Regions from separate parts of the Mus musculus genome. Here all the other regions are reported to be linked to region 3. Evidence: microRNA targets listed by miRTarBase, many of them from high-throughput screens and not tested one by one. Region 3 holds a microRNA gene; each other region holds the end of a gene's coding sequence.
The links. Region 3 holds the annotated microRNA mmu-miR-7b-5p (UGGAAGACUUGUGAUUUUGUUGUU, at 1,751-1,774, opposite strand). A microRNA usually pairs through its seed, bases 2 to 8, with sites in the 3' UTR of a target mRNA and lowers its output. Matches are read on the target gene's strand: a 7mer-m8 pairs with bases 2 to 8, a 7mer-A1 pairs with bases 2 to 7 and ends in A, and an 8mer does both.

Region 1 (3,000 bases), not on the chromosome of region 3:
GGGGGGCGCCTGTCGCGCCGGCCATCCTTCAGCTCACACCATCTCATGCCATGCGACACTCTGGCACGCCGTCGCCTGTCTCGCAGCCGCGCGGAGGCCGAGGGTCCGGGCGCGGGTACGGCCCGGGCGTGTCCCCGCGGTCCGGAGCCACCGGGCTCGGCATCGTCCAGCAGCCAGGAGTCGCTGCGGCCCCCGGCGGCCGCCCCGGCACTCGGCTCACGACCTTCGCGCGTGGAAGCCCTGCGGCTACGTCTCCGTGGCACCGCCGACGACATGCTGGCCGTGCGGCTGCGGCGCCCACTGTCGCCCGAGACGCGGCGGCGCCGGAGTAGCTGGCGCCGCCACACAGTGGTGGTGCAGAGCCCGCTGACCGACCTCAACTTCAACGAGTGGAAGGAGCTGGGTGGAGGGGGCCCTCAGGAGTCCGTGGGCGTGCGACCGCACAGCGACAATAAGGACTCTGGCCTCAGCAGCCTGGAGTCCACCAAGGCACGGGCCTCATCCGCCGCATCACTGCCATCTGGGGACCTAGGGGCCCTGCAGGGTCTGCCCCAGCGCCGCTCAGCTGCCGCCCGCCTCCACCAGTGTCTGTGATACCCTCCCCTGTTCCGGGGCTGCAGAAATTCCCGTCTCGTTTGTGCCCCCCTCAGCCACCCCCAGTGCTGCAGAAGGTTGGGGGTGGGGTGTGAAGGGCGGCGCTGGTGTGGCAGGCTGGAGTTAGGTGAGGTGGGCAGAGAAATCAAAGCCAGACCGAAGTGGGAGTCCTCAGGAGAGGGGAGGGGCTATTGGGAGTCATGTCCCTTGGATGAAGAACCGAGTAGCCCTTTTCTGTGAGTCTACTTAGGGACCCTTGGTGACCCATGCAGTGTGGGTGGACCGCCCAAGTTTCATACAGAAGGAAAAATACAGGCTGGATTTAGGGTCTGTCCTCTGCCTCCCCCCCCAATAGCTCCTAGCCAGGGAGAGAGGGAGGATGAATGTCTGAGGAGCGGTTATGTGGGGTTGGGTGTCCATGGGAGAGGGGGCATGTGTGTGTGTGTGTGTGTGAGAGTGTGTATGTGTGTGTGTGTGTAGTCACAGTGCAAAGGTGTTTGTTACCAGTAGCTATTTCTACCCCAATTCTTTTATTTTCCCCGCCAGGACCCTGCCTTTGGTGCACACAGGCACCTTAGCCCCAAGTTTGTCAGAGGCTGGGTTGAGGCCACTTCCACAGAGGCAGGACTGAACCCCACTACTACCGGAGTCGCTCCTCACATCCTTTGCCGACCTCTAAGTCACCCCTCTAAGCTCTCTGACCTGTGGATCTGTCTGGATCCCCTTACAGCTGGCATCTTCCTCCTCCATGTTCACCCTGCATCCTTCGGCAGCTTAGCATGCGGACTCGCCTTCAGTCGGGAGGAACTCTGTCCGGCACTGATGTATAGAGTCTCAGCTGGGCTGTTCTTGCAGGGTGGGTGGGACCAGCTTCTCTTCCCACACATTGTAAATAGACCTAAAGCACTAGTCCCCCTCTGCCCTCACTCATTCCAGGGGAGCCCCAGTGGGGTGACCTGCTCTGCTGCCCAGGTCTGTCAGTCTTTCGGGTTTATGCAAAGATTTGCTGTAAAGTCTCTCCCCCCTCCCTTTCACTGTAAATATTGTCTCTAATGTGTAACATATTATAAAGAATTTATAAGGATTTTTAAAGATGTTTTGCTCATTTTAAAAAGTGTTGTAACAGTGTTGGATAAAGCCCCCCACATCTGCATGGCTCCTCCCACTGTGTCCTTGACACACCTCTCTAGGCTATAACTAAGATTCCTGCTTCTGAAAGTCTTGTCTTAAAAGTACAGTCTATATCTTGGAAATAAATGGCCTTCCTCAGGCATGAACCAGTGTCTCGCTTGTTTGGATGGGGAGAAGAACAGAGCAGCGCTGGGAGGAGCTATCTGAGGGATGTGTCTCGGCAAGCAGGGTAGCCAGGCGGAGTGGCAGGATGCAGGGAACCACTTCTCTCTGGTGGCTTTTTGTGTCCTAGGAGACTGGTATGAACAGAGAAAGTCGCACAGGATGAGTGGTGCGCTGTCCCCACCCACAGTGCTGTCCCCACCCACATCCTGGGATCGTCAGCAGGAGGTTTCCAGGCGTCTCCTTGGCAGAGGCCAGGTGTGGGAGGCTCCTTCTTTCTCATGCCTTCCGAGTGGCCTCAGGCACTAACCCACAGGCAAGAAACTTGGCCAGCTGTGGCCACAGGCACCTCAGGCCCAACAGCATTTAGTGTGAGATTGACCAATTTTTTTCAACCATGTGTAAGCCCACAGCACCCTCAGTTATGGCTCTGAAGCAGCCCTGTACCCTTGGGAAGCTTGGAACTGGTATCCCTGAGTGCTCAGAACCCACCTCCAGGGCTTTGCCCTGAACCACATCTCCAACACTCAGCTCAGGGCCATCACTATGTCCTTTCTGGGTGTGAGAAAGCTGAGGCACTGAGAAGGATGTGGCTTGCCAAGGTCACCCTGTTAATAAGGGGTGGATCCAGAGAGAAGCTAGGGGTAGGGGTGGGACTCCTTTCTCACAGGGTGACCTGCAGACAGTAACAGACTCTAAAGATGAGAAGGTCAAACGAAGATACGTCTAGACGAGGAAACAATTCTTTGCAGGCAGAAGATACGTCTAGATGAGGAAACAGAATTCTTTGCAGGCAGAAAGGGCCTTTGAGCTGAGGAAAACACACTGGGTGGTAACTTGAACCCACACAGAGGATAAATACTGTGGCCATGGGGAATAGAGACATGTATTTTTCTTGTTTCGCTTTAAAAGAGAACTCAGCTGCACAAAACAATAATTGCAAAAGCATTGTCCATAAGGTGTGGTTTGTATCATATTAACCACATAGAGGAAGGGGAGAGATCTACATTGGAGCAAACTTTGGATTTGTTTTATTTTGTTTTATAGTCAGGGTCTCACTATGTAGCCCTGACTGGTGGAACTCATTGTGTAGATCAGGCTGACCTCAACTTA
Region 2 (3,000 bases), not on the chromosome of region 3:
ATCACAGGTACATTTGTTCTAAAGAAATCCCCTTCTGTCTGATGAGTCCAGAGAAAACTTGGAAATCCCAACCCTGCAAGTCACTCAGCACAGGGACGGGATCCCAACATGGAAGTACGGGTGCAGGCTGTGTGCTCCAGCAAGCGTGTCTATCTCTGTGCAGGGTGTGCTTGCTGGTGCTACCCCTCTCCCCATGCACGCGCACATCCAAGCACACACACACACACGCACGCACGCACGCACACATACACACACACACACACCTAAGTGCTCATGAGGCAATTAACCATAATCATCCATAAACTTTCTATGTTCATAGACATAAGGAATGAGGAATCTTCTGTTCACACTGATCCATGCAGCAACCTTCCTAAACTTCTCAAAAAATAAAATGCTTAAAAAAAAACTATGGAGAGCATTACTATAAAAATAAGGTCACCGAAGGTTCCATATTCAGGTGACCCAGCCTCTAGCCAAGTTGACTGCTACTGAGGCAACCTCTACACCAACATGGAAGCCCTGACTTAGCTGCCAGAGACAAGCACCCCTTCCAACCAAAGCCCCAGGAATTCAATGGGGCTGACAAAAGATACAAAGCTCACCCCCAGTTGACAGAGCCCAGAGAGGTCCTCGTGCCCTGCCCTTTGACCCACACTGAACAGAAACACTCTCACAGATTCAAGTCGGGCACACTCAGGCAGAAAGAACTTTTGTGGTTTCTTATGTACACACTCAAAATCTTTCCCACCACAGAGCCTTCCAAGCAAGAGCACTCCTGAACTGCCTGGCCCTTTCTGCTTTCCACATCTGCTTGGTACTGAGTGCCTTCAGTGACAGCAGAGTGGCTTCCGCAGGTTTCCGCAGGCTTCCCGGGCCTCACCCCGCTAGTTACAGAGAGCATCCTCAGGTGAATGGCCCCAAGACAAGCTACATTATTTCTACATTTTTACACATCATCACAGCCCTGCTTCTCTACAAGAAACATGAGGAACTAACTTAAAAATACACTTATTCCCTTGTAACCAGTCTTAAATGTACAACACTCTTCACAGCACACAGCTGAAGTCTTTGTGGGAGAATACAGCAGTGCCCATGTCTTTAGGTGACTCAGTTATTCTCAGGGGGAAAAAAAGGAATGGTTCCCTAAGCAAAATAAAGCAAAAGACAACACTGCCTCAGTGTGGCTGCTTCTCTTTGACATCTTCCCTCCTAGGAAGACAGTTTACTTCTACAATGGACTTTCCCAACAGTCCCAACAGATACAGAGAACGTTATCCTGTAAGACATACAGAGAAAACTCGGATGGCAGACCCTGCTCTGACACACAGACCACTCCTCACCCCAGCTGGACTCGTCACCAAGCTCCTGTATTTCCTGATAAGCTTCAGGTAGACCCCTGTTCTGCAGAGCACACTCCAGCTGAAATGAAGGAGAGGGACCCCGTCATCCCTGCTGCTGCTGCTGCTGCTGTCTGGAGCTGCTGCAGGTGTGCTCTCTCTCCCCCAGTCCCTGCAGCTCCCTCAGGATCAGTCAGCCAGTGCCAAAAAACCAGGCTGCTGAAAGCTATAGTCTGTGTCCATAACTGGCAACCCCAGCCCCTAAGAGTCCCCTGCAGTCCTCCCCACGCTTCAGTGAGGACATCCCTTGTACAAGTGTAACTGAGGCTCAGCGTACATCGCAGAGGTGCGTGAGGGACAGGACAGGCTGTGAACGTGGTCCAGTCCTTCGGGTTTTGCATATGATGGTTTTGCATCAGTCACTGCAGGTAGATTGAGCAAGCTTTGTTTTTGTTTGTTTTTATAAACATGCATTCAACTAGATATGATTCAGAATAGAGTAATACTCCCTTTTTATCATTACAGTTAGCTAAAAAATTTGCCAGGCAGTCCACAAAACAGGATTTGCTTTAAAACCAACCCAGAGTTAGTTGGAGACTAGCGAGCTGGGACCTGCTGGGCTGGGGCGCAGTCATGTTTAGCTAAGTGTCGGAGCAGTAAGAAGAAAGTCCTGGTTGGAGGCACAAGGCCTGCAGCACCAGCTGTGGAACTCAATGAAGTGACTGCACAGCTCCATCCTCAAATCTGGGAAAGAATAACAACAGTCAGACAGGCTCTTGGCACTTGTGCTTTACCAGTTCCAGAAGGCAGCGGTACCCAAAGCTGCGCCACCTGGTTCCCACCCACCTTACAGCAACACCCTGTGCCCCCTGCCCCATTATACCTGGAGCCCTACACACTGCACTACAGAAGCAGCAAGACAAACAGTTAGCACTCAATGCCCCCCCTCCCTCTTCCCTTATTGGATGTCCCAATAAGAATAATGACATAATGAGGTAAGGCCTAGGGTGCCATTCGTGGGCGGGTGGGCCGAGGCTGTAAGGGAGGGAGGTGAGCAAGGAGGGCAAGCTGGAGAAGCAAGCCAATCAGCACCCATCCTCACGGCTGTACATCAGTTCCTGCTCAGACTCCCGTTATGATGGGTTGTAACTGTAGTCACTGTAAGCCAGGCCAAGCCACTCTTCCTTTCCCCAAGGTGCTCTCGCTCAGTGTTGTGCCGTATCAAAAGACAGACAAGCATACTAGACCAGTGCTTGTATCTAGTCAGTCTTGCAGTCTCCTCAGAGAAGTGCACCTCAGCAGGGCCCACCTAGCCACAGCCTTCACTAATACTCACATTAATTTGCAGGGCAATCACCACTGTGGGGGCACATAGCTGTAGGTGGGTGTTCCTGGGGCTCGGTATGTGGGGACAGTGACCGGGTGAGGGGCTACAGGAGTTGGAGAATGAGCAGTCAGCAGAGTACCTGGAAGAAAGAACACTTCATAAGGAAGTACAAGCGACTGCTAGAGAGCTCCATCATGTGGTCTCTGAGAGCACATCCTGACCTGACTTTCTCTGGGGAGGCAGGAGGGGAGGGAAGAGGAATGGTCTTGGTCTTGAACCAGAAGGGTCAAACCTCCAAACGGATTATCCAAAATGATGAAAGGCATTATTAGTGCA
Region 3 (3,149 bases):
TTATCAGGTATTTTCATGATTAATGATTTAAGGCCATTGTGGGTGGTGCCATCCTTGGACTGGTGGTCCCAGATTCTATAAGAAAGAAGACTGAGCAAGCCAGGGGAAGCAAGTAAGCAACCAGTAAGCAACACCCCTCTATGGCCTCTGCATCAGCTCCTGCCTCCCGGTTCCAGCCCTGACTTCCCTCAGTGATGGAGTGTGGCCATCATTGTAAGCTGAATAAACTCTTTCCTGCCCTTTTCTTGAGTCAAGGTCCTGTCACAGCACCAGGATGCACACTAGGACAGCTGGGGAGAATTGCACAGTGGGGGATGGTTAGTGACTGCATTAGAATGTCACAGATGATAGGTGTTGAATGTTAAGAATGCCATGACCCACCAGACAACAAGTCCACATTTTCTTGGTATCAGTCATGCAACTAGTGGTTGCTTTGTGTGGCGGGCACAGAGTTTTATTGAAAATTGGGCTGGGGCTCCATGGGTACCGTACCCAGTCAAAGCATTTGAAATTCTGAATCCAACACCGTGTATGCTAGGCATGGTTCTCAGGGACTGGAGGCAAGAGAACTCAGTGTTCAAAGCCATCCTGGGCTACATTCAGAGTTAGAGAAAAGCCTGGACTACAGGTGACACTGTCTCAAAGCAGGCAAAGTGAAAAGAGTGAGGAAAAGAAAACAAGAAAGAGAAAAGAATTTCAGGGTTTTCTAGAAGTACCTTTGATGCCAATCCCTCTTTTAAAAGTTTTATGGCCGGGCAGTGGTGGCGCATGCCTTTAATCCCAGCACTTGGGAGACAGAGGCAGGGAGATTTCTGAGTTCGAGGCCAGCCTGGTCTACAGAGCAACAGCCAGGTCTATACAGAGAAACCCTGTCTCAAAAAACCAAAAAAAAAAAAAGTTTTATGTATGCACATGCTTTTAATTCAAACACTCAGGAGGCAGAGGCAGGTGGATCTCTGAATTTGAGGGTAACCTGGTCTACAGAGTAAGTTCTAAGACAGCCAGGTTTATATACAGAAACCCTCTCTTTTTTTTTTTTTTTTAAATGTAATTCTTTTTTTTTTTTTTAAAGATTTATTTATTTATTATATGTAAGTACACTGTAGCTGTCTTCAGACACCAGAAGAGGGAGTCAGATCTCATTACAGATGGTTGTGAGCCACCATGTGGTTGCTGGGATTTGAACTCTGGACCTTCGGAAGAGCAGTCGGGTGCTCTTACCCACTGAGCCATCTCACCAGCCCCAGAAACCCTCTCTTAAAAAAAAAAAAAAGAAAAATTTTTATGTGTGTTTATTTATTTGTGTGTGGAAGCATGTGTGTCACAGGACATGTATGGTCAGAGGACAACTTGCAGGAGTTGGTTTTATCCTTCTACCCAGTTGATCCTGGGGCTCAAGCTTGGGTTCCCTAATTTCAAAGCACTCTTTCCCTCTGAGTTACTCCACTGGCTCACCATTCCCTATTTGAGTCTCCAGAGAAAGCACGGTGCTGTGACCCAGGGCCCTGAGGTTGTGTCTCTGATCCTATCATGTAGATGTGTTTGAGTGACAGGCCAATAGCATGGGAAACACTCCTGCACTCTCCCAGGGCCCGAGACCTTGCTAGACACCCTCTCCTGTCCGTGCTAGACTTCCCTTAACCCCCTCCTGTCCCAGTTTCCTGCCCCTACCTGTTTGTGTATTTCAGGAGAAAGGTGATAGGAGTCCACGCTATGAGGCTGGCTGTGACTTGTTGTCATATCATATCAGAACAACAAAATCACAAGTCTTCCACATAGCACTGGCTCACGTACTCCGCTCCTCGTCCTCATCCTCCTCCGCCAGGTTCAACACCCTCAAGTGCTTCTCTCTCTCTCTCCATAGAGGATTGAGCATAACAAACCCCACTCACTGACTTACCCTCCCTAGACATCCCTTTTCCATTCCATCCCCTGAGACACAGGCAAGATTCATTCTCTACCTGCCCCCCAACTCACACCCTGGCACATCACCAACGTGGGATTTATTGTTCCAGGCACGAGGAGCACACACTTGTCACCCCAGCACGCAGGGAGTAGAGGCAGGAGGATGAGAACTTCAAGATCATCTTTGGCTACACAAGGAGTTCAAAGCTTGGTCTACAGTGTTTTAAAATAATAATAATTATATATATAATTGAGAGAAAAACTCTTTTTAAAAATAAAAAGAACTTGAGATTTAAAGTTGGATTGAGGCTGGCTTTCCCCTCACCACTTCACTTTGGAAATTAGTACACCCAGAGGCACTCATAACATCTCGTTGACCAAATGCTTCGCCTGTACTCTGTGAGTTTGAAGCCAGCCTAGTCTACATAGTGAGTTTCAGAACAGCTAGAGGTACACACAAAAAAACCCTGTTTCAAAAAAGAAAAAAAAAATCCCTCCGTAAAGGACAAATGCCAAGAACCATTAAGAGGTTCCTTCCCTGTACACTCTCCGCCAGAACAGACCCCAAGGCGATCCCTGAAGCTGGGTGTTGAGAGCTTGGCACTGCCAGGGGCCGGGTGCTGAAGCCTAGTCTCTTCGTGACCCGCTGGGAGCTGTCCGAAATCCTGGTGCTGAAGCCGAACTCTGCTCCGAGTCCCTCAGCCGGATGGCGCTGTCCGCGTCTCCAGTGCTGAAACATAATTAGTTATTGGGGGAGGGGGTGGTCAGTGCGGCTCGAGGACACTCTCCCAGCTTCTGCCTTCTGCCAAAATGCCCCGCTCCTTGTTTCTGTTCTTCGTCCTAGGGACCCATCTTCTGTTTTAATCTCTTCCCATGGACCCGGGGTGTTCTAGGCGGGGACGAAGGCGCAAGGCTCTCACCTGCTCCCACATCTCAGGGAGACAGCCCTGGGTTCTCTGCCCTTCCTAAACAGTCCAGTTGGCCTTCTGGAAGATGTGCCAACTTGCATTGTACCCAGAGTCCCCGCTTCCCTCCCTCAGCGCACCTTTTCCTCCTTCCTTCGTGCCTTACCTTCTCCTGCTCACCAGCAGCTGCAGGTGTCTCGGTGGCTGTCCAGTTTCCGACGTTTCACCTTTATGCGCTTAAGGGGAAGGCGGAGCGCTGGAAACCCTGGGTGGGGCTTAGCCAGTGAACCAATAGGAATCGTCTTGGAATGAAGCTCCAAGGATTACCTCATAGGTTGA

Region 1: the mRNA of Arhgap23 is a reported target of mmu-miR-7b-5p. The part of its 3' UTR that is shown has no 7-base or 8-base seed match.
Region 2: the mRNA of Fam168b is a reported target of mmu-miR-7b-5p. Seed matches in the 3' UTR shown: 7mer-m8 at 1,213-1,219.

The regions. Positions count from the first base shown.
Region 1 is chr11:97,500,532-97,503,531 of GRCm38, forward strand. Arhgap23 (Rho GTPase activating protein 23) reads left to right here. Exons shown (of 19, transcript NM_021493.2): 19 at 1-1,869. The coding sequence ends at 594. Among named protein-coding and RNA genes, the nearest start is that of 4933428G20Rik, 1.7 kb to the left of the region's middle.
Region 2 is chr1:34,815,324-34,818,323 of GRCm38, forward strand. Fam168b (family with sequence similarity 168, member B) reads right to left here. Exons shown (of 7, transcript NM_174997.2): 6 at 2,674-2,803; 7 at 1-2,081. The coding sequence ends at 2,691. Among named protein-coding and RNA genes, the nearest start is that of Gm32790, 24 kb to the left of the region's middle.
Region 3 is chr17:56,241,642-56,244,790 of GRCm38, reverse strand. It overlaps Mir7b (microRNA 7b), which reads right to left and starts at 1,803; the gene lies at 1,693-1,803. It overlaps A230051N06Rik (RIKEN cDNA A230051N06 gene), which reads right to left and starts at 3,075. Exons shown (of 2, transcript NR_155493.1): 1 at 2,977-3,075; 2 at 1,986-2,635.